Caenorhabditis elegans: one gene and its partners. Changing the gene in region 1 together with any one later gene gives a genetic interaction. Each region holds a gene or a part of one and is shown in the gene's direction. Other genes may lie near its edges. The genes, in order: clk-2, rpl-3, mel-11 and F56D2.3.

Region 1 (8,457 bases):
TACTTCGTCGAAGATCACATCTGACGCCATGAAGATTCTTCAAAAATAATTTTATTGAACATCTATTCGGAATAACGAACGAAAATAAATAAACAAAAGTATGCACAAATTTGGGAAAGAGACGGACAATGAGGGGTAAAATGGGAAAAATCGATTATGAAATATGCTCAATTAGAGCTCTTCGGCTCTTCGTTCTTTTTGTGCTCGACGTGGCCACGACAATGACCGGTTTCACAATCCGAATCAGAATCCGAGCTTGAGTCTTGCCAATTTTTGGGCTTCTTGTAGATACAACAGCATTTGCTCTTCTTCTTGCCCATTCCTTCGTTATCCACTGTTTCGGTGGCCCAAACTACGTGTCGCCGTTCTGAAGTTGATGGCTGAGCTGGATTTGGACTAAGATGAAGCACCAAGTTCTGTTCTCGAGATGGAGGAACGGTGACAGTAGAGGTTTCAGTGCTTGAAGCAGTTTGTTGTTGAGTGTGGCTCATGTTCTGTAATTTAACAATATTTTTTTTTAATTGAACGAAAAATAGTGGAACAAAAAATAAGCCTGACAAATTCTCGTGAAATCAAGTAAACAGCAACAAAAATGTTTCATAATATTTTGTCCGAGTGGACTTCAAAAGACTGCATGGCCTAGAATCCAAATTCATTCCTCGTCCCCATGTGGTGAACTCCTCTCGGACAACTTATTCGAAGAACAATTTTTCATCGAATATTCGATCGAACTTCAATTTATATCGATGTTTCTTCTATTTTAGTGCAAATTTTAATCAAAAAAATTAAACCTTTTGTCAACATGGCGCGAAATTTTCCCACTGCTCTCGATTACCTGGGATCAGAAGCTGAAGATTTTAACAAGGCGCAACACTTGTATCTGAAACCGATGGCTGTTATAAAAATTACCGTAGTGCTGCCTCGGGTACGTTTTTTTAACTATCATAATTACATCGATTTATTATTTAATTGTAGATGACGATCCCGGGACAATCAATATCTAATTGGGATCTCATGGAAAGACTAAAACGTGCAATTGATCCAATTCAAATGGATTCTTGCAAAGTTCGTGAGAGCAATATCGACAGTGTTATTTTTGAAGCGGAACTTCTTTCGCTAGGAATCATGCAGAAAACGATGAAGATTCTCGATGGATTCTCTATGAAAGTGTCTGGATTTGCTGAGCCCTTGAAAGTTAAAACAAAAGAGGCAAAGCTTGATTTTCCAAGTCGTCATGATTGGGATGATTGGTTTATGAAACATAAGATGGACGAGATGAAACCCGGAGAACGTCCTGATACAGTTTATTTGGCAAGAATTCCAGTGAAATGGTTCTGCGTACGTTGCTCCATAACATTGCATTCGAATTTATTTCACCAAACACATTTTTAGGATGGTTACAATGATCTTCCTTCTGAACGACGTCTTCGCGTTGCAATGGAAGCGTTCGGATCTGTTAGAGTTGTCGACATTCCAATTTGTGACCCACTCCGATCTCGAATGAATTCAAAAATCTCTGGTATTCAGCAAAAAGGTTTCGGATTAGGGCAGGTATCGCAGTGTTTTATTTGTAAAATCAAACGAATTGAATTTTTAGGATGTATTTTTTGAAGCATATGTGCAATTTATGGAGTATAAAGGTTTCGCCACTGCCATGGATTCCCTGAGAAATCGTAAATGGGCAAAACGAATTGATGGACGGTTCTTTCAGGCTAATGTCAAGGTATAGTAGGGTAGTAGAGTTAGTTTGCAATTTTGAAAAATCTATCACATTATTTCTAAACGTTCAATATCAATTTTAAAAATTGCATATTCTTCGCTGAAACGAATCACCTCGTGCCACTCTACAGGTTAGTTAATTTCCCAGAATTAAGGTTGAGAAATAGCTTAAAATTTCATAGGTGGATTTCGATCGATCACGTCATCTCAGCGAAGTTCAAATTGCAAAGCGAGCGGAAGAACGACGTCAAATTGAAACGGAACGACTGCGGCAAGAAGAAGAGGAGTTGAATATCAAGTTTGTTGATGCTACAATTTTAAAAATAACTCACCTCTTCAGACGTCAAGAAGAACTGAAAGTTAAACAAGAACTCGATGATAAAGATAGAAGACGAGAAGATAGAGAACGGAAACGCCGCGAAAAGGTTCACTTGAAACGTTTCAAAAAATCATAATAAAACATACGAAATTTCAGAGGGAACTCGAACGAATGGCTGAAGAAGAGAAAAAACGCCTTGAAAAGGAACGACTTGAAGCAGAGCAACGATCACGAGCCACTCGCCGTTTGCAAGGTGTTCGTCTTTTGAAGTTTCTGTTTGAAAAAATTGAAGCACGAGAAGAGAGACGAAAGAGAAAAGAAGAAGAAAAGTTGAAAGATGAGCTGAGCAAAATCAAAGAACTTGAAGAACAACCTGTAGAACAAGAAGACGCATTGAGGCAAGCTCTACTTCAGCAGAGGGAAATTCGAATGCGAGAACGCTTGAAAGAGAAGATGAAAGCTTCAGGAGCAGAGAAGGATAAGAAGAGAGATAAAAATAAGACTTCTAGAAGAAGACGAACTAATAGACATGACAGTGAGTTACCTTAAAATTATTGTCTATTTTTTAATTAAACTTTTTTTTTCAGCTTCATCCTCTTCATCCGAAGATTCTGATTCTCCATCTGATTCTCCCCACTCTCGTCGACAAAGAAAACGTCAAAGTGAAGGAGATGATTTCCGGAGACATCATCATCGGGAGAAAAGTAGAAAACGTGGATCCTAAGAAAACGCGGATCCTATTTTTGTTTCCTATTATTTTACCGGTAATTTCACTTTTTTTAAAACATATTTTTTGATTTTTTTTTCAGAATCTCAATAAACGTATTTACCTCTATTTTTTCTCGTGCATTATTAAACCCTAACCTGGTTTAATTTACTACTCCACGTTCAATTACCTTTCCTGAACGCGAGCTTCGCATTAAAAACAAATTTTCAGATGAATTTACGAAGTCGCCTGGTAAATGCCACGGAACGTGCTGTGCTTTTTCAAATTTTCAAAGATGTGCAGAATGATCCGGAAAAGTACGACAATGCAGTTGAGGCGATCTGTGAATCAATCGACTATTTTGGCAAATTTTTGACCGATAGCGAGGTATTGTCCTGAATTCAATATTTGTGTAATGTTTTATATTTCTAATTGTAGTATCTTACACAAATCAAGCCGATTCTTGATACACAGTGCCCAACAAAGTCGATAATTTGCTTCTCGAAATGTTTGACAAAAGTGAGCACAGATATAAATACTACCACATTTCGAGATGTGATCACCATGCTCGACTGGTTGAAGTATGTCGTTGAAAAATCGCTGACAAGTGCTATTTGTAGCAGTCTGAAAGTTAAAGAAACTGATGGTATGTGATCAAAAATAATTATTCTTCAACTGAGGATTTTTGTTTTTTCAGTCAGTGCAGTTCAGTTGTATCGAGAATTCGCATCAGCATGTTCAAATATTCCGGAGAAAGTTTCGAATTGTTGTGCAAAGGCATTGTCTGGCGAGCATGTCAAATATATCAACACGGTTAAGTGGATATTCAAAGTGGGTTTATAAGTGAAATATCGAGATAGATAACTTCAATTTTCCAGATGAATCTGGTGCAAGGAATTCAAAAGGCTATGCTTCTTGCTCACGACGACATTGTAACTGCTGCCCCGTTCACTTCATTCTACGGATCCGGTGGTCCTTATATGAAGACTGTCGCAGAAATTATTTCATCTGGAAGAAACATAGATATCACCAACAAGGATGGGCTTCTAGTTCAAATGATTGAATGGATTGGTTCACTAAACAATTTTGATTCTCAATGGCGTCGGATGATGTTTCTCATCTTCCAAGAGCCCACATATCAGGGAATTCAAGTTCATGAATCACTACTGACAACATTGTTCCTAATTTCGAAAAGTGACCAAATCTTGAAAGTTAGTGGTTAAAATATAGTTGATTATATGAAAACCAGTAGTTTCTTTCAGCGATGTATCGAAGCCACTGATCTGACTGGAACACTGAAGCGTGTAGTGATGGTTAAGCTCCCGTTTCAGCGAGTTCTCAAACGAAAGACCATCGAGATTCTTATCAATTTTGTTTATCGAACTAAGGAACAATTTGCCATCCAGCTATTAGAGGTAGGGTTTTGAATCTATATTTTCCGTATTTAGCGAAGTTTTTTTCCAGACTTCTGTGAAAATCTGGAGTGATCTCAATTACGCAAAAAGTGCTCCAGAATCACAAGAACGACACATAGTCAGAATGATATTATACTTGGTTCATCTTTTCAGGTAACAAATATATTAAGAACTACAGTAATAACCTGTCCTTTTAGAACATGTTCTTCAATCGATTGGGAGTCACTCTTCCTGAACTCTATGGATGGAGTTCATTGTCGAATGAGCATGTTGCCTATGTACGTCCAAAGTGGTATTTTTGTTAATCAAGCACTGTGCAAGCAAGCGACAAAGCATCGATCGAAAACGCACGGATCAGATGAGCAACCTCCAGAGACTCTAGAAGAAAACAAATTCGTTTCAAGTGAAGTGGGAAAAATATGGTTTGAAGAGATGACGTCAATTTTGGAACATGGATTTAATTCTTCTACAGTGAAAGATTCTGAGCGAGTTCGAGAAACCGCCAACGAAATAACCAAAGACGATTCGGGTGAAGAATTTGAAGAAACCAATGCACAGCGTCTTCAAAACAACAAAGATTCGGCAGCAATCACATCGAAAAACAATCTACGTTTAGATTCTGATGATGACGAAGACTTTCCTGACTATCAAGTTAATGAATCAGAAAAGATCTTCAAGAATTTAGAAATTGGAGAAGAACCGAAAAATAAAGTGACACCTCCAGCATACATTGCAGATGCTTTCGAAATGCTATTAGAGAAAGAAAAATACGAGGTTTTTGAAGCAGCTTTCTTTAATATTACGAATTTGATCAATCGCCGGCCAATTGGATTTCCACAAATCGCTGAGAAGTTGTTCATCCGAATCCTCCATCTTCAAAACAATTTTGGAACGCCTAAATTCAAGGAAACTGTTGATGAAATTGCAGTTGCATGTATCACTCAGCGTCCAGAAATTGTCCCATCTGTAGTGCGTCTGATCATTGCACCAGGTCAAGGTTTCAGTATCAAACAACGTCTTCTTCATTACATTCACAATGCTGCTGATGGAATGGGTGCATTGGATAAGAAACTTGAAGAGTGTGTAATGGCGCAACAATTGAGAATTGGTGGTCCAACGTTAAGTATTATTCTTCATCGAACTATAAACACTGATTATGACGATGAGGATGAAGATCCCCACAGACTTTTAGTTCCTGAATGGCGACGAATGGTGGATGCTCGCATTGCTGCAAATACCAGAAGAATTGGAACGACGCGAGAGCCACCAAGAGCCGGAGTTGTCAATCGTCTCGCACAAGCTGCCAAATATATGTTTTATCCTTTGTTGGTTTTGCCACGTGGTGAGAACGCAAGTCTTTTGGTGAGTACATATGTTTCACAACTTGTCAATTCCTAGTTTATTACGTGTTTTATCTTAGCAATTTTAGAATTTAAACGTCTGATTACTCTAACTAGAAACATTTCAGGGCAAGGACTCCGATCTACTCGCCTCACTCATCATGGTTGCATCGATGGTTTATGTGAGATGTGGCGTATGTCCTCAAATTCATCGAATGTCAAGGTATACCTTTTAACAAGGTTGTGTACAAATTAGTTTTCCTGAATTTCAGTGAGCTTATATCATATGCAACGCCTCATCGATTCTCTGAAAACGCAAAACTACGGACTGCCTGCATCATTGCCCATCTGAATGTGACGACTTTGTTGCCTGGAGATGTTAGTTTGAAAATCAATTTTATTTGATGTTTAACCAAATATTCAGCTTATGGATGAACTGTTTGATGTACCGGCACTTATTGGATGGTTTGATTGGGCCAATTCTGTACTGGTTAATGCATCTTCATCACAATTGGAAAAGGATATGACTCGCCAGTTTGGTCATAGTGTTACAAAACACCTTCAACGTTATCATCCAGCTGTACTGCAACACCAAGACGTTTAAATAGTTACTATTCACTTGTTTTCCTTCTTTTCAAGTACTGTATCATTTCTTACTATCTTGCCAACACTTTGATCTCTACCTCGTTCACTTCTTGCTTTGCCACCCGTTGATATCACCTGTCTCATTCATTTATCAGCATGTTCATAATATCAAAAATAAAATCTTATCAAATGTATTTTACAAAACTGATTGAGTTGACCCGCTTGTTGAAACATTCCGGCTCTTGTGTTCTAGTTAGACGATGCTCCTGATTCGGATGACTTGGCGCGGCCCACGTACAGGTCAATTAGGTTCAGCTGAAAATCGAATGTCTCTTCAAGAAATTTAGTTAAATCCTTACTTTACTGGCATTTAAAGTTCTCAAGTGTGGCTCCATTCTTTGCATTCCAACTCTCTGAACCAGGGCGACTAATCCGAAAACTGCACATTTTCTTACTGTAGATGACATTGATTCGTAGGCAGTGACAAAACATGGTGCAACGTCATTGACAATTAAGTGTAACTCCTCAATATCAATATCTTGGAACATTCTCGTCAACATTTTCAGAATCAGAACACCACGTTGATCATCATCATCTTGACTCAAAATTCGCCTGGAGATCAGAACGACACGCGTAAGAGGCAGATGAGAAGCCAGGATTCGAAGACAATCTTCTGCTGCAACACCCATCGTGTTGTCATCAGATGTACATGCACATTGAAGAACTTTCGAAATTGCAATTTCTGTTGAATCGAACAACTTTGTCGCTTGAGCTGTGCACATTTTCTGAAGAATTCGGAGAGCAAGCTTCTTGCGAATCGATTGTGAGAATGTAGAAAGAATCTGAAATATAAATCTGTTTTTTTAAACAGTAACTTTGCCAACAGGTTCATGTACGCCTTCAATACAGGCGCAAAACCTAACTATATGCCTACAAGACATTGACTTGGAGATGATGTATTTTGCCCGGAAGACTATTTTAACTCGGTCAGAGCGGTAATCTTCTTCACGTCAAAGTAGGCGTTTGTATTCTTCAGGGTAAGTCTCTTATTACTGTCACAATTACCTGATAGATAGAATCCAGCAATTCGTCGAAAAATTGGTTCCAAAGAGTGAAAGAACCTTCACACATCATTCCATGAAGATTCGCCATCGCTTCGTTCAATTTATCAGCCTTCTCGAAATCTCGAATTGCGTCCAATTGATTTCGAATGTAGGCAGCTTGATCCACATGATTTTTGGCAAGATGGGCGGTCGATGTTCGATAATCAGGCGGTGGTGGAGTTGAATACTGATTTTCTGTTGCGATCCTCTCGGTTTGAGAATACTCTTTCCGTGTGGATTCATACGTTGAATAAGTGGTTTTCATGATTGGTTTCTCAATTTCTTCATTGTCCAATGGGCATGGTTTATAGTTGTTGTTGCTGCAAATATCAAGTATTCTCACTAAAACAGTATTTCTAACCCTCCAATCTAGCCTACATATTCATTTATTCTAGAATTATGCAATCCAATAATTACTATCTAACCTTATAAACCGTTCTTTTTCCTTTTCAATTGGCTTCTGGTTGTTCTGCTGACCATTCAACTGTAAAATTCGATAAGCCCAATCACGACATTCCGAAGGTAGCTCTCCGAAGATCATAGTGAAATCAGCAGCGTTGAGAGCAAACAAGGCACATACAAGACGTTCACATGCCTAAATTGAACAATAATTATTTTGAATATTTTATTTAGAGTATGTGTTAGAGAACAAAAAACGAAAAAAAACTAACTGGCATAAGAATAGCTCCAATTCTCGGATCAAACATCCATGCGAACATCTTCCGAATTGCAGCTCTTGTATACGGTGTATCGAGATGTGTTTGCCTCTCCAAACATCTCGGATCCTCTGGCCAAATCTCTTCGAAAAGCAGACAAATGTATTCCAGAAGAGCAAGTCTTGATTTTGGAGACAGTAAATGCACTGGATCACACATGAAATCACAGACAGCCTTCAGTTGAAATGTTGGGTCAAACGTGGTTAGGAACATCTTTTGAGTGGATGACAAAGCTGATTTGACATTTGGAAGGGCATCGGCTCCCATTTTAGCAAACAATTTACCAAGTGCAAGTTTTAGCCAATTATCCAGTTTCTTATATTGAAACTTTATAAATATGGAAATTGTATCAAGAATTGAAATAATTAAAGTATTATTCCCTTCTGCCAAAAGACGTGATAATGTGTCTCCAATATTCTTACACTCCAATTGACATAGGTTAGGATCAGTTATTACTTGATTCAAATTGACAATTGCATCTCGTTTTTCATTTAATGAAGAGCTGGTACATGCTTTGAGAATATGTTCAATACTTTGAACAGAACCATTTGAAC
Region 2 (6,938 bases), 3.6 Mb from region 1:
AAGGAAACGAGCCAACCGACACCTCCACCTGGACATACAACGAGCTACACGCCCAAGTAGTCCAATTCTCCGCTGTTCTGAGATCTCATGGCGTCAAACGAGGCGATGTGGTTGCTTTATATCTTCCAATGATTCCCGAATTAGCAGTTGCAATGCTTGCGTGTGCCCGTATCGGAGCAATGCATTCTGTTGTTTTCGCTGGTTTCTCTGCCGAATCACTTGCCGCTCGTGTTGTCGACGCTCGCTGCAGAGTTTTGGTTACGGCGGACGGAGTTTTTCGAGGAGCTAAACCAATTGGGCTCAAGTCAATTGCGGATGCAGCTGCCGTTCTCGCATCGCAGGAAGATGTCAAAGTGGAAGCTATCATTATGGTGGAACACTTAAAACGAGTCACGAAGCCTGATGGAGTGGAACTTCCCAAGGTAACTAAATATAATAAATTTAATGCTCTAAAATGCTCAAAGTAGTCTCAAATTCAGAAAAACCAGAAAAAAATTAAGTTTTATTGATTTTTCATTTAAAATTACAACAAAAAACATTTTTCAGGTCGATTACACCGATATCACCGTCATCTACGATTCGGAGATGCTCAAGTGTGCAGGCGTGGATTCCCCGGTAGAATGGATGGATTCTGAAGATCCGCTATTTATTCTCTACACATCGTTAGTTCAGAATTAGAATTTACTTATTTCTCATTTAATTCAAATTGTTAATTTTCAGTGGCTCAACCGGAAAACCGAAAGGTATTCAACACACTACAGCTGGATACATGACGTACGCCTACGCAACCACAAAATACACTTTTGATGCACAAGAAGACGATGTTTACTGGTGTACTGCCGATTGTGGATGGATCACCGGACACTCGTACCTTCTTTATGGACCTTTGATGAATGGGCTCAAGGGAATTTGGTATGAAGGTGTGCCGACTTATCCGACTCCTTCTAGAATGTGGGATGTCACTGATAAGTATGGTGTGACCAAGCTGTATACCTCACCAACAGCCGCAAGAGCTCTTATGGCTCTCGGAAATCAGTGGCTTGAAAGGTAATAATTATTCAAAAATAATTGTTCAGCATCTTTATTTTTAATTTTCAGCTCTTCTCGCAAAACTCTCAAGGTTATCGGAACAGTTGGAGAGCCCATCAATCCTGCTGCATGGATGTGGTTGTACAAGCAAGTTGGACTTTCCAATGTATCCATTGTGGATACTTACTGGCAAACTGAAACTGGAGGACACATGATCACATGCCTTCCAGGAGCAACTCCAATGAAGCCAGGAGCAGCTGCAATGCCATTCTTCGGAGCATCTCCAGTTCTTTTGGATGCTGAAGGTCGTGTTATTGAAGGTCCGGGAGAAGGATCACTATGCTTTGATCGTGCCTGGCCTGGAATGATGCGTGGAATCTATGGAGATGAGCAACGCTTTGTCAAGACCTATTTGGCTCCATTCAATGGATACTATTTCACTGGAGATGGTGCCAGACGTGATGAAGATGGATACTTGTGGATAACTGGACGTGTTGATGATTTGATGAATGTCAGTGGTCATCTTCTGTCTACTGCTGAAATTGAATCAGCTCTTGTGGCTCATGAGAAAGTTGCTGAAGCTGCCGTTGTTGCTGCTCCACATGACATCAAGGGATCCTTCCCATACGCATTCGTCACTTTGAATGTTGGAGAGAGAATCAATGAAAAGCTTGTGGCTGAGCTCAAGAAACTAGTTCGCGAGAAAATTGGTGCATTGGCTGTTCCAGATGTTATCCAAGAAGCTCCAGGACTTCCAAAAACTCGTTCCGGCAAGGTTACCAGAAGAATCTTGAGAAAGATTGCTGAAGGATCCGAAAGTGGAATCGGTGATACTACTACTCTAGTCGACGAATCTGTCATCAAACAACTAATCTCTGGACGTTCTGCACGTGCATAAACGAACTTGAACAATTGTAAATCAATTCAATTCTTACTATTAATGTTACTTTTTCTGTATTACTTCTCTTTTCCCCCTCTATCGTTGTAATTTCTGCAGAATCAATGCAAGATCTAAACTTTTAACCCCAACATGACCTTCTTTGTAATCAAGATGCATTCCCTGATTGACTCCTGTGTAGAATTAAATTCCAGTGTTGTAATTTCCCCCAGTAATTTATTGAACCCTGAATTCGAAATTAGAAAACAAGTAAATGATTCAGAACTGATTAATTGTTTTAACTCAATTTCAGATTTTCAGATAACAATTTTGGCTTATTCGGATAATTAAAACACGAAACATGAAATTACAAGAAGAAGATTAAATACTTACATGGAGAAATGCATTTCATATGCCCAGTGAATCTGATGTTTAGCTCAATTTTTATGAATTATGATAAAAACCACGAAAGTTCAATACAAAATAATATTTGATTTAACTTGCATTGCAAAATTACAGGAAAATGAATTATTTTAAGCATAAAGTGTGTTGTTTTGATAGGCCGTTTGAACAAAGCAAATCGATTTTCTTGATTATATAATGATGCTTCAAAATAAAACTTGATTTACATGAATATTTCCCGTTAAAAAACAATGTATTTAAAAACATTATTATTTGCAGAATCTCTCCAACTGCGAAAGAAATCGAATTCAAACAACCGCGCTTGTCGTACACTTGTACACTCCGCCGCCACAGCTACGGTAAAAGCGTGTTTTGCGACGCACAAGTGTGCGCCGAGTGTGTGGGTCTCCCAACGCCTTTCACTGGCCTAAACTTCATTTCAATTTGTTTTAGCCTAAAATTTTCATGTTTTTTTCGAATAAATTTTGTTTTTTTACGTGCAATTCTAAATTTAAAATGTTCAAATTAGTATCTGTCTAGAAAAGTAGTTATTTAAAAAATTTTTTAACCGAAAACGCAATTTTTATTCTTTGTTCGCTCATGCTTTTTCTATAATTTTTTCGTAAAATTAATATTTTTCAGGGTACAACAATGTCTCACCGAAAGTTTTCGGCCCCGAGACATGGACACATGGGATTCACCCCAAAGAAGCGCTCCCGCACTTACCGTGGAAGAATCAAGGCTTTCCCAAAGGATGACAAGAGCAAGCCAATCCATTTGACCGCTTTCCTCGGATACAAGGCCGGTATGACCCATATCGTCCGTGATGTCGATAAGCCAGGATCAAAGGTTAACAAGAAGGAGGTTGTCGAAGCCGTCACCATCGTCGAGACCCCACCAATGGTTATTGCTGGAGTTACCGGATACGTCGACACCCCACAAGGACCACGTGCTCTTACCACCATCTGGGCCGAGCACTTGTCCGAGGAAGCTCGTCGTCGCTTCTACAGCAACTGGTTAGTTTATTTTTCAACTATTTCGTTTTTTGTATTCAGTGTTATGGTGCGTTTTTGGTGTCATTTGGTGGTTTCGTGATTACAAGTCTGTATTTGCAGTCGCGTTTCTAAGTCGGTTGCCTTCCGCTGTACTTATGTACATGATGGTAAACGAACTGAGTGGCTAAAGCGTCCTGTACGCTGAAAGGCATTTTGTTCGTAATCGTAGAAACTACAGGGCTAAATCCAAGAAGAAGGCTTTCACCAAGTACGCCAAGAAGTGGCAAGATGAGGATGGAAAGAAGCTCATCGAGGCTGATTTCGCCAAGCTGAAGAAGTACTGCTCTTCTATCCGTGTGATCGCTCACACTCAGGTAATATTTATATTTAGTTTGTTTGTATTCTTAAGTTATATTTTGCAGATGAAGATCCTTCGCCGTCGCCAAAAGAAGGCTCACCTCGTCGAAATCCAAGTCAACGGAGGAACCATCGAGCAGAAGGTCGACTGGGCTCGCGAGCATCTCGAGAAACAAGTCCAGGTTGATACCGTCTTCGCTCAGGATGAGATGATTGACACCATCGGAGTTACCAGAGGTCACGGATTCAAGGGAGTCACCAGCAGATGGCACACCAAGAAGCTTCCTCGCAAGACGCACAAGGGTCTCCGCAAGGTCGCCTGTATTGGAGCTTGGCATCCATCTCGTGTCGCCTTCACTGTCGCTCGTGCTGGACAAAAGGGATTCCATCACCGTACCATCATCAACAACAAGATCTACCGTATTGGAAAGTCTGCTCTCACTGAGGAAGGAAAGAACAACGGATCCACCGAGTTCGATCTTACCCAGAAGACCATCACCCCAATGGTTCGTTTTATTTTTTTCACCGTTCTATGAAGAAAAAGTCTGCAATTCGTACTCTGTATGGCGACTATATTTTATCTGAGAACATCGGGCGTTGTAATCAATTTTCATGAATTTTTAATAATTGTTTTGTTTTAGGGAGGATTCCCAAGATACGGTATCGTCAACCAGGACTACATCATGCTTCGTGGAGCCGTTCTCGGACCAAAGAAGCGTCTTATCACCCTCCGCAAGTCGCTCATCACCCAAACCAAGAGAGTCGCCCACGAGAAGATCAACCTCAAGTGGATCGACACCAGTTCCAAGACCGGACACGGTCGCTTCCAAACCACAGCCGAGAAGCGTGCTTTCATGGGAAAACTCAAGAGAGATTTCCTTGCCGAGGCCGAAGCTAAGGCTTAAATTTGTTTATTCAAATAAATTGTTATTGTTATCAAATGTTTCTTCACTGTTCACATTTTGAATACACTTTGAGTATGCTTTTTTGTTGAATCTGAAGGACTATGCTGCTTGTATTGAAGAATAATAATCCGAAACATTCATTAGGTATAACATTAGAAATCTGGAAGGGTGTTAGACCCGGTAATTGTTAAGATAAAAAGTTCAATTTAAAGAGGGAGTTAAAGGGTTCGAATTTGATGGGTTCCTGAGTTGGGGGTTGATCGACTATTACACGTTGCAGGAAATAAAACAGAAAAAGTGAAACGAATGAAACAGATGGAGATCGGAATATATAAACAGAAAGATTATAAGAAAGTGAAGTTTCAGAGTTTTCTTTTTGGTTTCATAAAGACATCAATCACATAATTTATAGAGATTATTACAATTATTATTATTATTTGCAGAAAACGGCAGGGCATTGGGTAAATGAGGAAGAGAGAGAGACAGTTGAAATCATAGATTCTACGCTTTGAATTTCCAGTTTTTTGTGGAACACTTTTTTTGAGGTTTTGACTGATTTAAAATGAGGGTCAAATACATTAAAACTTTCGTGTGGGATGATTGAAAGACATTGGGAGTTTGATATTTGATATTGGGATGGTTGAAGAAAATTGGTTTTTTGTTGGAAAATGGATAAAATGAACCGGCACTTGATGTATTGATTAAAGAAGAGACTTAATTCCGATCGGAAGTTGTGGATGCAGAAGGCTGAATTTTCCTTCTCGTCGATGTTGCACGTTCTTGTGATCCAGTTGGTGTAACTGAAAAGACTAAAAAAATTAAATAATATACCAAGTGACGATGTTTCAACAACTTACACGTTGGCGTAGGAGGTTCCATTCTTGGTCCACCGATGCTTCTGGATGGCCCAGTACGGCTTACTGTATTTGTGGTCTGCCACCGTTGTTGGGTAGTTTTTCGGGAGATAGAAGGCATCTGAAAATAAAAGATATAATTGATAAAACCTTCGAAAATCGAGCACATAAAGAGCTATAGTAGTCACTAAAGGAGGTACTGTAGTTTTCTTTGTTACCATTACGTATTCTCAAATTTTTGTGCTCGTGCAATATAATATTTTGTGAATAAACTCACTTCTTTGGTGGTCGGTGTCGTTCTGTTCAACTCTCCAGTAATAAAACGTACAACTTTTGCCATACATGCATCCTGATAGTCGTGAACCCATTTAACACCATTATACTTTGTAATCATTCGAATATCATTCGGAATTTGATCTTCTTTTGTTGGGAATTCGAATGCAGTATCAAAGATTGGAATAATGTTCTTCTGGTGTTCAAATGCACATTTCAGCTCTTTGTGCACCCAATCCTCACAGTTATCATCATTTAAAAGTCTATCCAAACTGTTTGGTGTGAGAACAAGGATGAAATGTTTGGCGGCTTGAATGTTCTTGAGCAATGAGCTGTCGAATTTTCCAGCATACAACTTATCGACATCAATGAACACTCTGTATCCGCGGAGTTGGAGGAGTACTTTAATGAGACTTGCGAGTTGGTTTCCTGTACTTCTTCTGTATGAAATGAAGACATCAATTTGCTTGGAGAGCATTGCAACTTCCACGTCATCCGGATGTTTTGCGGTTTCAAATGCTTGTGTCAACTTGAGTCGATGAATCGGGTTCGTGATTCCACAAGCGTTTTGCATCATTTCGTCGGTGAGTGAGGAGAGAAGAGACCGGTTGACTCCATTTGTGAGCATTTGGTAGGTGTAAACAGAAAGTTCTGGACTTAATCCCATCAAGAAGTTGTCCAAATTCGACTCGTCAACCGATGAGTAATCAGCAGCAACTTTTAATGTTTGAAGCTCTCTTAAGAATCGTTTTCGATGAAGTCCAGAGATCATTCCAACATCATGCTTCAGATCATTCTCAGTTAATTGAAGTAAAAGATCTCCATCGACCATTTGTTTAGCGAACTTCTCAACGTACTCCTCAAAACCAATCTTCTTCACCCAATATTGAACATCTGCGCATGTCCAGCCAGGTACTTGTTGAGCGAGTTTATAGGGAACCTCTTCGCCGATAACCGTGAGTGCTTCGGAGGCGAACTTGGCAGCGACCTCGTCTGGAGAGGAGGCCACTTCTTTTAATGCTTGGATTGCACCGATTTCCTGAAAATTAAATCTTATTAGACTGTAAATATTTTTTTGAAATATTGATATAGAAAACGGTATTGACAGCTGGCATACCCAATTCAAAACTTTCTTCATTTGATATTTTCGTTCAGGAGTGGAAACTGTCATAGCCAGAGGAATATGAGATAAGTAATGAAATATGATAAAAGAGCAACAGGACTGGCAGGACTGTACTGAGCAAGA
Region 3 (7,705 bases), on another chromosome or scaffold:
TCACACGTCGGTGCTCCCAACACTCCCCTCAATACCTTCCTCTCTCCTTTTTTTAGTTCTCGTCAATTTGGCTTCCATGTTTGTCAAATCGGCAACTGCAGCAGCACCTCCTTTTGGTGCCACTCGAATGCAGGAAATGTGTGTGCATTTTTTGTCGATATTTCTCTTATTGAGCCTAGCCGACGAATGTCACCTTGTCCGCTTTTCTAATACATTCGAGATTTCAAAAGCTAAACAATGACAACAAATTGAGCACTACGTTGGTCCCCTGCCATTCCCAAGCTGCTACTTCCTTTTGCTTATGCTTTTGAACATCTTTCTCTTTTCTTACTCTTCTCATCCAATTCTCTTCGTCAACCAATTCACACGCTTCTTGTCAATGTGTACATGTTCGTTTCCCTCCTCCTTCAAAACCAGCTGTTTTCCGTCCAAATCTCATCACTCTACTCCCAATTGATCCTTCGTACTTTTTATGTGGACCAGCTGATCTGATGATACTGCTGATAAAGTACATGTCTAGAGGGCTATTTTAAAAATAAAGTAGATATATTTTCTGAACATTTTGTTTTACTAGAATTGACTTGTAAGTTCTTCTATTGTTCAAAATTAGCGAAACATTTCTTTGACTCCATATCTTGTCTTCAGTCTTTGTTACCGCGATCAAATTCCTTTTCTTTGTATATACTTGTCCTATGATAGTGAACATCTCAGCGCCGCACCGCGAATACCTCGGAATAATCAATCCAAATTAAGGACATTCTTGATAATATTGTGGCGGAAGAGGCATAGGCGATCGTCAATTCATAATAGTCTAGATTTTCGGGGGAGAACTGTCCAACGAGGCGGTAATTTTTGAAAAAGGGAGTGTCCAATTTATACACCTGCTCGCGAATGATTAAAAAGAGCCAGCTGTTTTAACAGAATAATATACAGTAATAAGGATTTATTGAAATCTTTACCTTTTGGATTTCCGCCTGTCACTTCTTATAGACTGTAAAATTAACTTCCGTTGTTCATCCCTTTTCCGGTATAGATTCACACCTAGATACGAGACTTTCGGAGTCTCACAAGAAAGATCAATATCTTTGGCAATGGTTGAGTACACGAAAAGAACGCTTTGATCAGACAGTTATACACAAAGTTAGGTGATCTGATCAGTGTGCACTTGTACTCACAACTTCTCGAGACTCTATTATAGATGAACGTAGATGTTTGCTCATTCAATTTATGTGTGTTTTTTCACTTCAAAGAGTGCACACATAATTTATGTATTACACACACGTTCTTTGTATTCTATCTAGCTGCCCTGGGAAGTGTATCTCTAGTTTATGACATTCTGATGCTCGCCTGTGGCTTTGAGTACTCACGGTGACTGGGCCGTAAAGTTGATACGATTTCAAAACAAAACATTTTAGGTTTTTCTAACTTATTACATGCTTTTTCAATGATTGTTCTTTTGTACCTCATTTTTGAAGTGTTCTTGCGTGGGCAGTAAATACCATCTTGACCTGGTTCTTAAAAAACCGCAAATCGTTGACAAGTGCTAATAGTTGTCTCTTTCTCTCTATTTACAACCATTTTTTGTGTGATGCTGCTACCGAGATTTTTCAAGAGTTCCAAGAGCTTATTAGTAAGCGCTAACCATCACCACGACCACCAAGCAGCACAACAGGTTAAGGATGATGATGAATAAGAGAACGGTGAGAGGAGGATCGGGAGAAGGATGATGGGAAGAGAGGGCAACCAGCCAACTGCCGCTGTGTGTATAATGATGCGGGAAAAGAGAACAGAGCGAGAGAGTCGAAATATATTGAGCGGTGTTTAATAGACGCAGACACGCCGCGTGCAGGCGGAAAGTTTCAAGTACGTCCCTCCCGGTCTCTTTCTCTTGGATGATGGTGTATCTGCGTCTCGAATCACTAATTCTCTCTTTCTGTCTATATCGTTGAAAATAGAGAGAGAGAGAACGACCTATCCATCGACTTGTCGCCCCTAATCCCGGGGGCACTGTTCCATTTTTTCTCTGGAATTAGTTCAATGTGTCCGTTACTCGAAAATTGTTTTTTAATTTCTCATTTTCTGAACATTGAACCTAGATTTTTTAAACAATGAATTTTTAATTTAAATGCCATAGCCAATGTTTTATATTAACATTGATTGCAAAAAAAAAAGAAATGTTTCTTTCCAAAAATATAACATTTCTTTTGAAATATAAACATTGATTGGCAATTTTCAAAAATTTTAAGCGTTTTTTACAGAAATGCCTTGCCTTTTTCAATTATTTTTCCAAATTTGTTTAGTTAGTCTTCAATGACTCACCGCAAACTTTTTTTAGAAACTTTGGAAACTCTAAATATTTCATTTTATAAAATTTTTGAACATAGATATTTTACACCAATATTTTTAGAAAACAAATTGCACCGGAAATAGTGCCCAATTTCATAATATTTGTTCTCCGGTGTATCCACAATCCAAAACCACCTTTATCACATCACTTTATCTAATTCTCTAAGCCTTTTCTGATCTTCACTGCCTCACTATTTTCACCCACTTGCCGCACTTTTCAATGGATGAGTGGGAGTTGTATTGATTAGTATTATATTTATATATCCTTAAGGATATATTTTTAATGGCGGAGTCCATGGATAGTTTGCTTAAAATTATTGAAAATTGGTCCTAATGAACGAATATATATATTTAAAAATGGTTTTAAATTATTTATAAATTTGAAGTTTGAAATTTTTTTTTTCAGTTTTGCCAAAAAATTCAAATTGCACATTTTTGTTGCAAAATTAAAAAAAATTTAGAACCATTTATAAGTGTTTTATAATTATATACGGTATTCGATTTTTCGATTTTTGGTTTTTTATTTAACAAGAACGTTGCATTTTTTAGATTTTTTTTTTTAGAAAAACCCGTAAATTTTTTGATTTTTTGGTATTTCGGAAAACCGAAAAACCGGCAGATTTCGAAAATTCGGGTATTCACATTCCAAGATTTATACGCAAAAGCTATGAAACTTTAGTCAAAAGATTAATCGAATAGTTGTGGTCTCATATTTCAAAAGAAGGATGAACCGGGAAATGAGTGAACGTTAAAGTAGTGGTGGTGGGATATGAAGAGTAATTGACTTGGAGGTGGTCGAATACGCGGAATAAGTCTCCGGTTTCAGTCACACGCTAAACTGGTCATTTCTTGTGGGTGTCTGTGTGTGAATACGAGTCATTTTTCCCAAGCTTCATCGTTTGATCTATTTTTTCTCGTTTCCAAAACCATAATATTTTTACAAAATACTTTATATATTTTTTGGAATTTCTACCCATTATTGTATCAATGAAACGAACGTCATTTGTATCACTTTTCTCATCGTTCTTTGCTTTTCTGATTGAACCTATCTCAAACAACAACATTTTTTACTAAAAAAATTTCATATTTTGCAGAATGGGTCAAGATGACGAGGACGATGCGCATATGCTGCAAGCAAAGCAGCAAATCACTTTTAATGTTGTGAATAAGAGAAAGGTGAGCTTTTTTCAAAAGTTTGAAAACAAAATTCAACAAAAAAATAAATCTGTAATTTTTGCGAAAAAAAATTTGGTAAAAACCTCGTTTATCACAAATTAAAATAGTAAAATAAAACTAAAATTTTCTTCGTTTAAATTGAAGAAATTGTCTAAATTTATATTTAAATTTCAACATTATAAATTAAAAATCAGTTTGAAATTTCATTTTTGTTAAAAGTGATCTTCGAACTTTAAATATCAAATTTTTGGCCGACTTTCTTCGGTTTTTGCGCCAAAAGTACGGTACCCGGTCTCGACACGAAAGATTTCTGTTAAATGCGAAAAGTTATGCACCTTTAAAGGTTACTGTAACTTTCAAAAAGGAATTTTCATTTTTTTTTCCATAGTTTTCATAGTTGTCTTTTTTTGTTCAGTAAATTAATATATTTTCAAAAACGAAAAACGTTAAAAAAATCATGGAATTTCACAACAATAGTAGGTTGAAATTACAGTACTCTTTAAAGGCGCAAGCCTTTTTGCATTAAACATAAATGAATCGTTTCGAGACCGGGGACCCGTTTTTTGACGTGAAAATCTTTAAAAAATTTCATCTGCTTAATTTTCCAGTTTGAAGCTTGTTCAGTTTTTTTGTAGTTTTTTTTTTCGAATTAAAAATTTGAGAAATTTAAAATTATTCTAGAGAAAGTTTCTGAAAACACCTTGCTCTCTATGATTTTTTGTCTGAACCGTCGTTCTTCCTTCATTTTCCATGTTTCCTCCTCCACCCCCGTTCTCCATTTTTCCTGCCATTTTCCATACAAACACATTGACAATAAAAGTGAGTCAGCGGGCACAGGGACACGACGACGGCGACGACGACGACGTCTCTTTCGTCTCTTCTCCGGAAAAAAAACCACCAAAAGAGAACGTTTTTTGATCTTTTTTTGATAGTTTCCACAGGCTTCCGGTTGAACTTTTTTCTTATCAGTGTCAAGTTTTGACTCATTCTAATCGGACGATTATTCGTTTTATTTTTTTCCATTTGCTTTGAAACTTTTTCTCTTGATCATTCAAAAATTAATTTCTAAAAAAAATTACAAACCAGTAGGTATTTAGTGAACAAAAAAAAAACGACAATCACGACCGAAATCCAGTCGTTTATACTTGTTAATCAATTGTGCAAACAGGTGCAAACACAATTTGTGAGCTCTCTCGGCGTGTGCCAACTTTTACTCTTTTTTACGCCGAGGGTTCGAAGTTTAAACATTCAATAAATTTAATATTTTTTAAACAAAAAAAACCATTTATTTGTAATTTTTAAATTTTCAGGATCAATTGCGCCGTTGGCAGAGCAGCGAGATGAACGCAGAAGCAGCTCGGCGAACGAAACGTCCAAAAGTACAATTTCAAGACAGTGATATTTTTCTGTCGGCATGTATGTCTGGAGATGAAGAAGAAGTTGAAGAACTGTTGAACAAGGGTGCCAATATTAATACTTGTACAGTTGACGGGTTGACCGCATTGCATCAGGTGAGATTTGCATTTATTATTGACAATTTGGTACTTGTATCGTCCATATGTGAAGTTTCGTGAATTTTGTTTAAAAAAATACGATACCCGGTCTCGAGGTGAACCTAAAGGAGTACTGTAGTTTTTCTACAGTTTCTTCAAAATTGCACATGTTTTTCAATAAAAGTTAAACAAACGTTTGAAAACGTATGAAACATCGAGGAAAATCCTGCAACAACAGAGAGCAGGGCTGGAGCAACGAAATTACAAAAAAAAATGAAATTGATAAAAACAAAACGAATTTAATTTGGAATTTATTTTAGAAAACAACCTTAACTTTTTCTGGAAATAAAAGTTCAAAAATAAATTTTAAAAAAATTCTTTTTGAATCCTTAAAAAACACATTTTTCGTAAAAAAAAAGTTCTTTAAAAACAGCTACAGTACTCCTTTAAGGCGCACAATATTTTAAATTTGGTGCTTCGAGACCGTACTTTTGAAACAAATCGCAACGTTTTGCATATGGATAGAACATTGAAAAATTGAAATATTGCATAAACAAAACATTCGAAATTGAATATTTTCAGTCGGTAATTGATTCAAAACCCGAAATGGTTCGATTTCTTTGTGAAAAAGGAGCCGATGTGAATGCACAAGATAATGAAGGATGGACACCTCTTCACGCAGCTGCATGTTGTGGAAATGTGGCAATAGTCAGATATTTGTGTCAACATGGAGCCGATCTCTCAATAGTTAATAGTGATAAAGAGTTAGCACTTGATCTTGCAGTAGATGAACAATGTCGTGATTATCTTGACGATGATTACAAGCGACAAATGATTGATCTCGATGCTTGTAGAGATCAAGAACTTCAGACAATGTTGAAAGATGTGAATATGTGGATGAGTCAGGGAGAATATCGAGATATTCCTCACCACAGAACAGGTGGAACTGCAATGCATGTAGCTGCTGGGCGAGGATACACACAATTACTCGAATTACTTATCAAAGCGGGTGGAAATGTACGGGCACAGGATGTCGAAGGATGGACTCCGTTGCATGCGGCTGCACATTGGGCTGAACGAGATGCATGTAAAATATTATTGGAAAATGGAGCGGAATTATCGGATCTAACGTTTACGGTAGGGGTTTACAGTTTTTCTGTTGCGGTTTTCAAGACCTGGCGCCTGCTTGAAACCTACCAGCCACTCGCCTATTTTCTGTATTCTGGCGTGAATTTTCAAATTTCTTATCTTCGAATTTCAATTCGATGAAAATCAAATTTAAAAAATAAATGAGGAAGGCAGAGGTCGCCTTAATTAAGCCAGGCAGGCGTTTCGACGCCGACATGGAAGTCCTATCAAAGAAAAACGACAACAAAACTGAATTTAAAAACATTTGTCATACCAAAATATGTTTTTTCAAAGATAAAAAATATTATTTACTGAAAAAATGTACAAACTTTATTTTTATCAAAAGTATATAAATTCACACCAATTGCTTTAAATTTTTTTAAATTTTTATTTAAAAAAAAAACAATTTTCAGGGTGCTGACGTTCTTGGAGTAGCTGATAAAGAATGCATCGATTATCTTGTCGAGTTGGCTGACACTGTGAAAGTACAGAACAAGCGAAAATCACCGGGTAGTGGCTCCCAGCCACCAACTTCAATACTTCAGGAGAAGAATCATAGAATGCCGTCACACGAGGAACATGTTCTGACAAGTGAACGGAAACGAGATTTACAGCATAAGGATCAGCATAGGTGGGGGTTTAGAAATTAATAATTTGAAAATTTAATATTGGAAAGTTTTATTGGGAAAAATCTGAATCAGAATTTCCTCAAAAAAATATTTTAAAAACATTGCATGTTCACCCTCAATTATTCCACTATATCCTATCGCTTCTCTATTTTTTTGTCTATTTTTTTATATTTCTCCAGTGAAAACGAGTTTCTTCACTCGCATCCATCCACTGCATCAGTTGGCTCGACCACATCATCCAACACAAATACCACCACAACCACCATTGTTATCGGTGAAAATGATATTTCTGCTGCACAAAAAGATTCAAGAGAATCATCGAAAGAATCAGCTGTTGATGATGAAGAATATGTCGCAGAAGATGAAATGGAAGAAGCTGAAGAAGATGAAGAAGAAGAAGATGTTGAAGAAGAAGAGGAAGAAAAAAGTGAAGCTGAATTAAAAAATGGAAAAGAAATTTCACCGCTTCGATCGGAAACTACAAGTTCGAGGAGTATATCTATAACGAGGTGAGTGAGCAGGCTTTTGAGCTGGAAATTTATGTTTTCTCCTGCAATTTCCACCACCCTATGAGTTTGAAACTTCTCCCCTCTCATTCAGGGACACGTCTGCAAGCTTTTTATTTTCGAGAATTGCTCGTTTTAATTTCAAAAAAAAAACTGAATTTTGTTCTTAAACAGGTCACAATCAAACCTTTAAAAATCATTAAAATTCAAATTCAACTGAAAAGTGAATTTAAAAAATCTACTGATGTTGTTTCCTCGAAAATTCCATTTTGAGCAAGTACGTTATTACCTAGACGCGAAATTTTGTCATTTTGCGGTATTTTTTATATGAAAAACCGATAGAAATTCCTCAAAAAGGAGAGTTTGAAATTACAGTAGTCTTAAAAGGTGCACACCCATTTTCAATTTATAATAAAAATTGTCGTGA
Region 4 (7,339 bases), 1.9 Mb from region 1:
TTGCGTTTCAATTGTTTGTATTTAAACAATCGAAGAGTTCAAATTTGCAGCAATGCTTGAAATTGCCCCCAAAAGTTCAATTTTTCAATTTGCCAAACCTTTCACTAAAATTTTTGAAAAATGTATCTATCCATGTACCTTATTCTTCAGGAATTGATAAAATCTATCGATTCATAAAAAACTAAAGCTATTCCAACAGAATAGAAAAACACAATGTTCAAAAATGAAAGAATATTAAAATCATGTGAAAAGGGAAAACTTCCAGAAAGTCGACTCTTCTCGTTTACTGCGTTTTGTGAATATCTGAAAACTTTGTACGGATTTGTTACCATTTCTTCAATAGGCCGTGTATCATTCTGTCAATTTTTGGTGGATAGGTAAAATGTAACAGCCAATTTGATTTCTGAAAAGTTTTCGAAACATTTTTAAATATATTTAAAACATTTATTTAGGTCATACAAGTCCCGATATTCGAATATGAAACTACATCCAATCACTGAAGTGCACCATTGTCCAGCCTTTCCATTTGTTCTGCAAATTAAAATTTATCTACAAATCTATTCTGGTGATTGCGGCTGGATAAAATTTTAGTCCAACTCCCTGATTACCTCGTATTTTATCTTGAAAATAGTCGTTTTTTTGGACAAAAGGGGCGTGTTGGGGTAATATCTGACATTAATCTGAATGACTCCATACTCGTAGCGAACTCGTTCAATTATTCCGGTCGGATAAGATTCAAAAGATTTGATGATTCCCTGTGCCGCTTCAATCATGCCACTGACAGCTGAAAATAACTAAATTTCAAAATTGTTTCTGATATCGTACTTACGAAGCATATCATCCGGAGCAAAAAGATCCACTACTGCAACTGGGTCCCCTGATTTGATAGCTGCCTGGAACTTTTCGAAGAACTCCTTCGGTACGTTGGCATATTCTTCGGGGACTGGATCCAATGAAAAGACAATAGAAGCACTTGAAAGAGCTAGAAGAAAAATTGGAAGACGCATATTTTGGTTTGGCTACATGGCGAACTGAGCATTTTTATAGTTCGAAATGCTAATTCAATTAGAATGTGAAAATTGTCAATCAATGCGGAGGTTGATGTTTGGTGTCGTATTGATGATCATGATCATTTTGGGCATTTTGAAGACACCACATGGGTTCTGCCGCGTACGGTATCCGGTCTCGTCATGATAAATTTTAGCTGAATGAAAAAGCGTGTGCAGTGTGTGGCAGAGGAGTTGCGTCATTCCACGTTTAAAAGTGTGCCCAACATCAGATATACCTTTAATCCTCCAACCCGTCGGAATCAAGTAGCTCACACACACACACACACATACATAATCTGAGAGCACGTGTAGTTTTTGTTACATGCTCAATTCTAAAACAGAGGGCGCGAGAGAGAAAGAGGCCATCTCTAGGACAACGTACTAATGATAGAGAGACGGCATCCGCTTCTGTGTGATTATGTAGCTCTTTTTCTCTCGTACCTGCCTCTTCTTCAACTTGTGATATTATCCCACGTATTCATACTCTCTTCTTCACTTTTTGTTTGAAGCTTCTGGTTGCCTTAGGCCTCGTGGGATAATATGCAACGTTTTGTGCGCTTTAAGAATATATTCACTGTAGCTTTTTCAAATAAGATCCAGCTTAGGTTCAGTTAACGCGGCTCCGGAAGCTTCGTCACGAATTGGATTACTTTGACTTTCCAGATTAGAGCTTAAGCTTTCAGAAACATGCGAAGACGTAGCAACAGACAATATGTTGATCTCTCATATTTTCGCGAAACTGCCGATGCGCTATTATTCGACGTTGAAACCAATTCACGCGAATTCACCAATGAAATCAACACTGTGAAGGAGGAGAAAGCCAAGTGGGATGAGGTAAGCTTTCACACAAAGTTTAACTCGCCTGCCTACCTGGGACCTAGGCCTGATTTATGCCTACTTCAAAAGTGGGCGTGGCATGTGTCGAAATAACTTTTTTTCAGAGAACACCGCAAGGGTATACGGCAAAGCCAATTAGTTTTGAGGGCGCAGACATATGGTGTTCTTGGATATGTACAGTACCTGGACCGAGAGGAAGCCCCTGGGAGGGAGGGGAATATGAGGTTTAATTACTTTTTAGTTCGCAAAAGTATATTATCTCCAGGTTTCCGTGAACTTTCACAAATGGCCTATAATTCCGCCAATTTGTGAATTCAAAACGCCGCTTCATCATCCGAACGTGGACCTCAGAGGTTGGTTAGAACTGTTTCGAAAAAATATGTTTGAGTGTGAAATACAGAAAACGGTAGCAAAAAGAAACGCATTATTACAAAAATCTTTACAGGATCAATTTATCTTAAAATGCTGGAACAAGAGCACTGGTCTTCTGAAACTTCACTCAAGAAACTTCTGAGGGAAATCAGCAATCTACTTGCAACGCCCGATCTTACTCAAGCTGCAAATATTGAAGCCTGGATGGAATATGAGAATCAGCGGTTAGATATATTTTAACGGCGCACAGCTGCAAATGTGAACAAACTCGGCCACCTATTCTTCTAGGCCACTTCGATTTGGAGCTAAGCGTCGTTGAACAGAGAAAAGAGAACACTTAACTTTTAAAATTATCTTGTTCCAGTGAAAATTACGAGGCTAAAGCTCGAGCTTATGCTTGGACAGTTAACCCGAACGCCGTGGGATACATGGAAGTATCCGAGAATTCCGGAATTCAGAGGGAGACAGCAAAGGCTAAGTTGGCAGTGCAAAATGGTGCCATGGAATCGGACGAGGATGATGACGATCTACCAATTGACATCGAAAACTAATATTACACAAATTTTTATATTTTTGGTATTGGCCAACGTTTTCTGTTGAAGACCTTTTCCACTTTCTCAAAACTTTCTTGCCGACACTCTATGGAATTTTTCAGATTTTTCTCCAAAAAGGTGCCAATTTTCTATACACATTTATTTAAATCCCAATGCCCCTTTTTTGCAGCAAACTTACCTGACCTATGTGATAATTTTTCCCATTTTCCCTACTTTCCCGATCACACCAATTTTTCATTCTCTTTCCAAAACCATGTCTTTTTACGAAAAAAGTGATTATTGTACCAAATAAAGCTATTCCAAACTCGTTGAGTCGGGGTGTCCTCCCATTATCTCTTAATGAAATGGCAGAACAAGAATAAATCTACGTAGTCAACATTTGTAGGCAGGGAGGTATGCTTGACTAAGCTCCAGTCTACTAAGGATTTAAAAAACTCGGCCACCGATTTCTTGTTCTCGGCCACGTTGCAATGAACCGCAATGCCCTTCAAAAAGAGGTGATACTCGTGATTGCACGTCATTACCTCATCCCCAATGTCTATATTTACTTCTCCCGCACACCTTGTCAGATATCTGCACTGTTCATGGTGTGCTCATCGCCTCGCGGAGAGAGCTCTAACCCAAAAGTTTTAAACGTAAAAAGCCGGAAACGGTATAGGTTTATCGGTTCACCGAGAGCGCGCCTAGATCGTGTGGTACCGCCCCTCCTCGCCTCCCGTCAAAGGTCTCTATTTACTCCCAAACAGTGTGCTCTCGGAGCCTCCCGATCCCCCTCGCTGACCATTGTCCACTCCACTCGACCGTGCACAGTTGACTCCTTTTTTTGTACTAGTCGGTTGTTGGAAATGAAACGTATTCTTTTGATTTCTCTATTTTCGGCGGTTGTCAACGGCTTTTACTACAAGAGAACTTTATACGGAGATGCTAATGAGGGAGCTGCCATGCCAGACTATGTTAATGCTTATTATGTGAGTTTTCTTGGCTTGTAGGATTTTTAAGTGGCAGTTTCGGCAGAGATTTCACATCTAAAATATAGTTTTTGAGTTGTTTTGCAACAAGTCAGCCAAAAAATCGGTGGCCGAGTTTTTTGCTTTCCGCGGCCACGTAGCGAAAATCCCAAGGTTAATTATTACAAGGTCACAACCATTTCGGTATGTTGTGTAGATTTTTCTAATTGAAACTAGATCAGAACACAAACGCCTGCTTGCTTGCCTTCATTCACCTACGCTTGTATCAAGATTGTGCACATTGAAAGTAGGCGTGTAGACAGGCACGTAGGTACCAAGGACTGAAGATTTCATGAAAACAACACCAAACACCAGAGTCCAGCAAGAAAAAAAACCAAAAAATAATAGGCAAGCTTTCATGAAAACGAGTCTGCCTACCAAGCCTTATTGAAAATTCTGAACATTCATTTTCCAGGGTTTTCCAACAATCCCAACACAAGAGCCACGTCGGCGACCATCTTTCAACATGAATCCACCACAAGGATATTTTCATCGGGAGCATCCATTTGACTTTGGGCCATTTGGTTATATGAGAGCAAGGTAAGTTCCGGAATAGGTGGCCAAGTTTTATCTCCTCGCGGCCACTTAGTAAAAAACTGACCGTAGCGCCAGATTACAACGATAATCTATTCAAAACTCACTTTAGACGGTACCTTAGCAACAAATAATCTTGATTTTCCTTCAGAATTGGAGAAGCCAACTTCGGTGAGCCCATGGAGAAAACTGACCGCGAGCGAGCTATGGAACGGGCCAAACCGGGATTTTGGCGTCAAAACCAACGCGAAACCATGGATCGGATCAAGAAAATTATTGGAGAGCAGAGAATGAATATGGAGCAGAAGCAAATGCATATTCGAAGAGTTCTAGCAAATGAGAGTGATGAGATAAGGGTAAGAAGATAAATAATTTTTTCTCAACAAACACAAACATTTTTCAGTCCAAATTCGCTGATATTCACAAAAGACTGATCATGAAAAACAACAAGATGACCGTCTCCTCTCCAGTTCCAGAGCTTAGCAAACAGGCGAAGAAGCTTGAGAAAGAGGCCAAGAAAATTATGGAAAACAAGAAAATGAGTGTAGAGAAGAAGCAGGAGAAACTTGACAAACTTATGCTTAAGGCTCCAGAGAACGTTAAGAATGAGCTCAATGCTATGAACGATTCGGGGTGAGCATTGAGTTTTTCATGGTAGGCAAGACGCGCATGTAGGCAGGCGCAGGTTGCATGGGAGGCAGGAAGCAGGCGTTACATGGTATTCCTAAAAAGATTCCAATCCGTGTAACACTCTCGGAGAATTCAATCATATCAAAATTGATTGATGCTTAGTCGATTTTTGTGTTTCTCCTCTATTGCTCTCTTCGAAAAATCTCAAATCTTTCAGATCAACACCTGCCCCAATTCAAGCTCCATTCCCAGCTCCAGGACAAACCGAGGCTCTTAATCGGGCAAACCCATCAATGGCTTCTCAAGTTGAAGTAATGACTCGTAATGCACCAACTCAAGCAGTGGTTGAAGCTCGTCAAATCCGAGTTTCCGAAGATGGAAAAACTGTGGAAATTTAAATAATCTGTGCTCTATGAGCAATTCTTCTTTTTGTGTATTTTACGTCTAATTTTCTCAACTGCCCAACGTCTTTCCCTTGTGCTCCATCCCCAGAAACGACGAGCTATCTGACTGTATATACAAGTGATTTCAGCTCGGCGTTTGCTCACCTGCTCAGTTCGCCTTCTGTAAATATAACCTTAATCCATTCAAAATCGTTGTTATCAATCTCAGCATATCAATTGTTTATCAGTGTTATTTAAATAATAAATATATGGGATTTTCTGCGCTAATATATTAGAAAACTCGTATCTTTCCAATAAAAAGTGGAATTTGAACATCCACGCTTTGTTTCTGTCAGATGGAGCGCGTTTGGTGCATGTTTTTTCAGCGGTTTTTTTGCCCTTTTAAAAAAGTCTAGATTTCTAAACATTTTGAACGCGATACCAGTTTTTCTTGTTCTAGTTTGTGTTAAAATAATTTCTACTAAATTTCAGATGTCAGACGACAGCCGTGAAACTCAGTTATTCGAGCTAGAAGCACTGGAGAGTGTGCTAAGGGAGAATAAATTGACGAGAATCAGTGATTGGGCGGATAAAAATGCAGAAATTCGGGGAATAATTGAAGTAGAATATTGAGCGTATAAAGAAGTTTATTATTAAATTTTTTCTTGATTTCAGGTAGGATTTGACACATTATCCGATCCAAAAGTCACAATTGAAGGAACGTCTGACTCCAGCGATCATTTTTCCATCCCCCTAGACATTCTTCCACCAATCCGATTGAAATTTCATCTTCCAAATGATTATCCCTCAGTATCATCACCAAAACTTGAACTGGAAAGTTATTGGATGAATCAGGAACAAATGACATCTTGTGAAACCGAGTTGGCAAGGATTTGCGAGGAAAACCAGATGATGGAGGTGCTTTTTATGTGCTATCAAACGATAATTGATTCGGTTAGTTTTTTGTTCTTTTTAACAAATTAAATATATAAAAATAAGTTTCAGATAGACCAATCTCACCTAAAAATCATCAATCTGAACGAGGCGTGTGCGCTGAAAAACAATGGAGAAACTATTGAATCGCTGAAAAAGAAAATTCTTGGAAAAGGCGAAGAAGCTGCTGAAGAGCACTTTGTCAATACACTTTTCGATTGTGAAGTAATTTTTTCGTAGTTATAAAATTATACTATTTTTTCAATCTTCCAGGTATGCTACGACTCTCAAATGGGCCAACATTGCATCAAATTCCAGCCGTGCTCTCACGTTTTCTGCAAACAATGTACTTTCGATTATTATCGTACAATATCGAAAGGTGTTGTGGTAAGATCCAATCGATTTTTTTTTTGGAAAAATTGGATCATTTACAGTCAAAAGCCATGCAGTGTCTAGCAGAAGGATGCAAGAGTGAAGCACAACAAAATACGGTTAAGGAGGCACTCGGAGATGATTTATATGCAAAGTGAGATACATTTCCAAAAAAAAAAATCCAAATTTGAATTTCCGCCAGATACGAGACGATTATGCTGGAGAAGGCGATTCGAGAGATGGAAGACACCGTGGAGTGTCCCAGAGAGAATTGTCAAAAAGTCGCCTACGTCACGGATAGGTATAGTTTAAAATATAAAAATAAATGTAAAAAAGAAGAACATTTCAGACAACGCTTCCTGGCCGAATGCTCCTACTGTAACTTTTCGTTCTGCAATCTGTGTAAGCAGACATTCCACGGAATAGAACGCTGCAAATGGAAGAAAGGAGACAAAGAGCTTCTTGTCAAAAGATGGAAGGATGGAGATGAAGCTGAGAAGGCTGAAATGTGCAGGCAATTTGGAGGAGAGAAGCGTGTCGAGGAGCTTGTGGAGCGGTTCCTCAATGAGGAATGGCTGGATTCGAACAGCAAACCGTGTCCCAAGTGCTCGGTGAGCATAGAGAAGAATGAAGGATGCCACAAGATGCACTGTACGAAGTGTGACACC

Evidence for each region.
Region 2: changes in clk-2 (region 1) and rpl-3 together harm fitness more than expected from each alone (negative genetic interaction), as found in Caenorhabditis elegans (one large-scale study listed by BioGRID).
Region 3: changes in clk-2 (region 1) and mel-11 together harm fitness more than expected from each alone (negative genetic interaction), as found in Caenorhabditis elegans (one large-scale study listed by BioGRID).
Region 4: changes in clk-2 (region 1) and F56D2.3 together harm fitness more than expected from each alone (negative genetic interaction), as found in Caenorhabditis elegans (one large-scale study listed by BioGRID).

The regions. Positions count from the first base shown.
Region 1 is NC_003281.10:7,513,043-7,521,499, reverse strand, and holds clk-2 (Telomere length regulation protein clk-2), read left to right. Parts: upstream 1-2,975; coding exon 2,976-3,131; intron 3,132-3,182; coding exon 3,183-3,390; intron 3,391-3,441; coding exon 3,442-3,575; intron 3,576-3,622; coding exon 3,623-3,955; intron 3,956-4,006; coding exon 4,007-4,159; intron 4,160-4,208; coding exon 4,209-4,312; intron 4,313-4,356; coding exon 4,357-5,521; intron 5,522-5,627; coding exon 5,628-5,722; intron 5,723-5,771; coding exon 5,772-5,877; intron 5,878-5,923; coding exon 5,924-6,103; 3' UTR 6,104-6,278; downstream 6,279-8,457. Other genes in the region: lig-4 (DNA ligase IV), read right to left, coding at 1-30; C07H6.2 (E3 ubiquitin-protein ligase PPP1R11), read right to left, coding at 168-491; akap-17A (RRM domain-containing protein), read left to right, coding at 803-925, 976-1,338, 1,393-1,551, 1,598-1,723, 1,902-2,017, 2,060-2,144, 2,195-2,573, 2,626-2,762; cls-1 (Protein CLASP-1), read right to left, coding at 6,334-6,399, 6,444-6,926, 7,150-7,507, 7,613-7,782, 7,859-8,457. UniProt on the Caenorhabditis elegans protein: DNA damage checkpoint protein required for DNA damage-induced cell cycle arrest and apoptosis, thereby playing a role in genome stability. Regulator of telomere length.
Region 2 is NC_003281.10:3,864,904-3,871,841, forward strand, and holds rpl-3 (Large ribosomal subunit protein uL3), read left to right. Parts: upstream 1-2,950; 5' UTR 2,951-2,959; coding exon 2,960-3,324; exon of another isoform or gene 3,325-3,326; intron 3,327-3,425; exon of another isoform or gene 3,426-3,541; coding exon 3,542-3,677; exon of another isoform or gene 3,678-3,679; intron 3,680-3,725; coding exon 3,726-4,166; exon of another isoform or gene 4,167-4,168; intron 4,169-4,301; coding exon 4,302-4,565; 3' UTR 4,566-4,684; downstream 4,685-6,938. Other genes in the region: acs-19 (Acetyl-coenzyme A synthetase), read left to right, coding at 1-422, 547-662, 721-1,047, 1,099-1,927; tir-1 (ADP-ribosyl cyclase/cyclic ADP-ribose hydrolase), read right to left, coding at 5,280-5,374, 5,423-5,540, 5,697-6,731. UniProt on the Caenorhabditis elegans protein: The L3 protein is a component of the large subunit of cytoplasmic ribosomes.
Region 3 is NC_003280.10:9,355,093-9,362,797, forward strand, and holds the start of mel-11 (cGMP-dependent protein kinase interacting domain-containing protein), read left to right. Parts: upstream 1-3,438; 5' UTR 3,439-3,441; coding exon 3,442-3,522; intron 3,523-4,832; coding exon 4,833-5,033; intron 5,034-5,597; coding exon 5,598-6,152; intron 6,153-6,556; coding exon 6,557-6,774; intron 6,775-6,951; coding exon 6,952-7,281; intron 7,282-7,705.
Region 4 is NC_003281.10:5,581,405-5,588,743, forward strand, and holds F56D2.3 (DUF148 domain-containing protein), read left to right. Parts: upstream 1-3,542; 5' UTR 3,543-3,657; coding exon 3,658-3,780; intron 3,781-4,234; coding exon 4,235-4,359; intron 4,360-4,504; coding exon 4,505-4,709; intron 4,710-4,756; coding exon 4,757-4,986; intron 4,987-5,200; coding exon 5,201-5,381; 3' UTR 5,382-5,706; downstream 5,707-7,339. Other genes in the region: F56D2.8 (DUF4440 domain-containing protein), read right to left, coding at 484-531, 609-784, 830-1,007; uev-2 (UBC core domain-containing protein), read left to right, coding at 1,737-1,883, 1,991-2,110, 2,152-2,239, 2,332-2,482, 2,623-2,809; F56D2.2 (RBR-type E3 ubiquitin transferase), read left to right, coding at 5,859-5,987, 6,042-6,320, 6,372-6,524, 6,573-6,686, 6,734-6,825, 6,874-6,972, 7,021-7,339.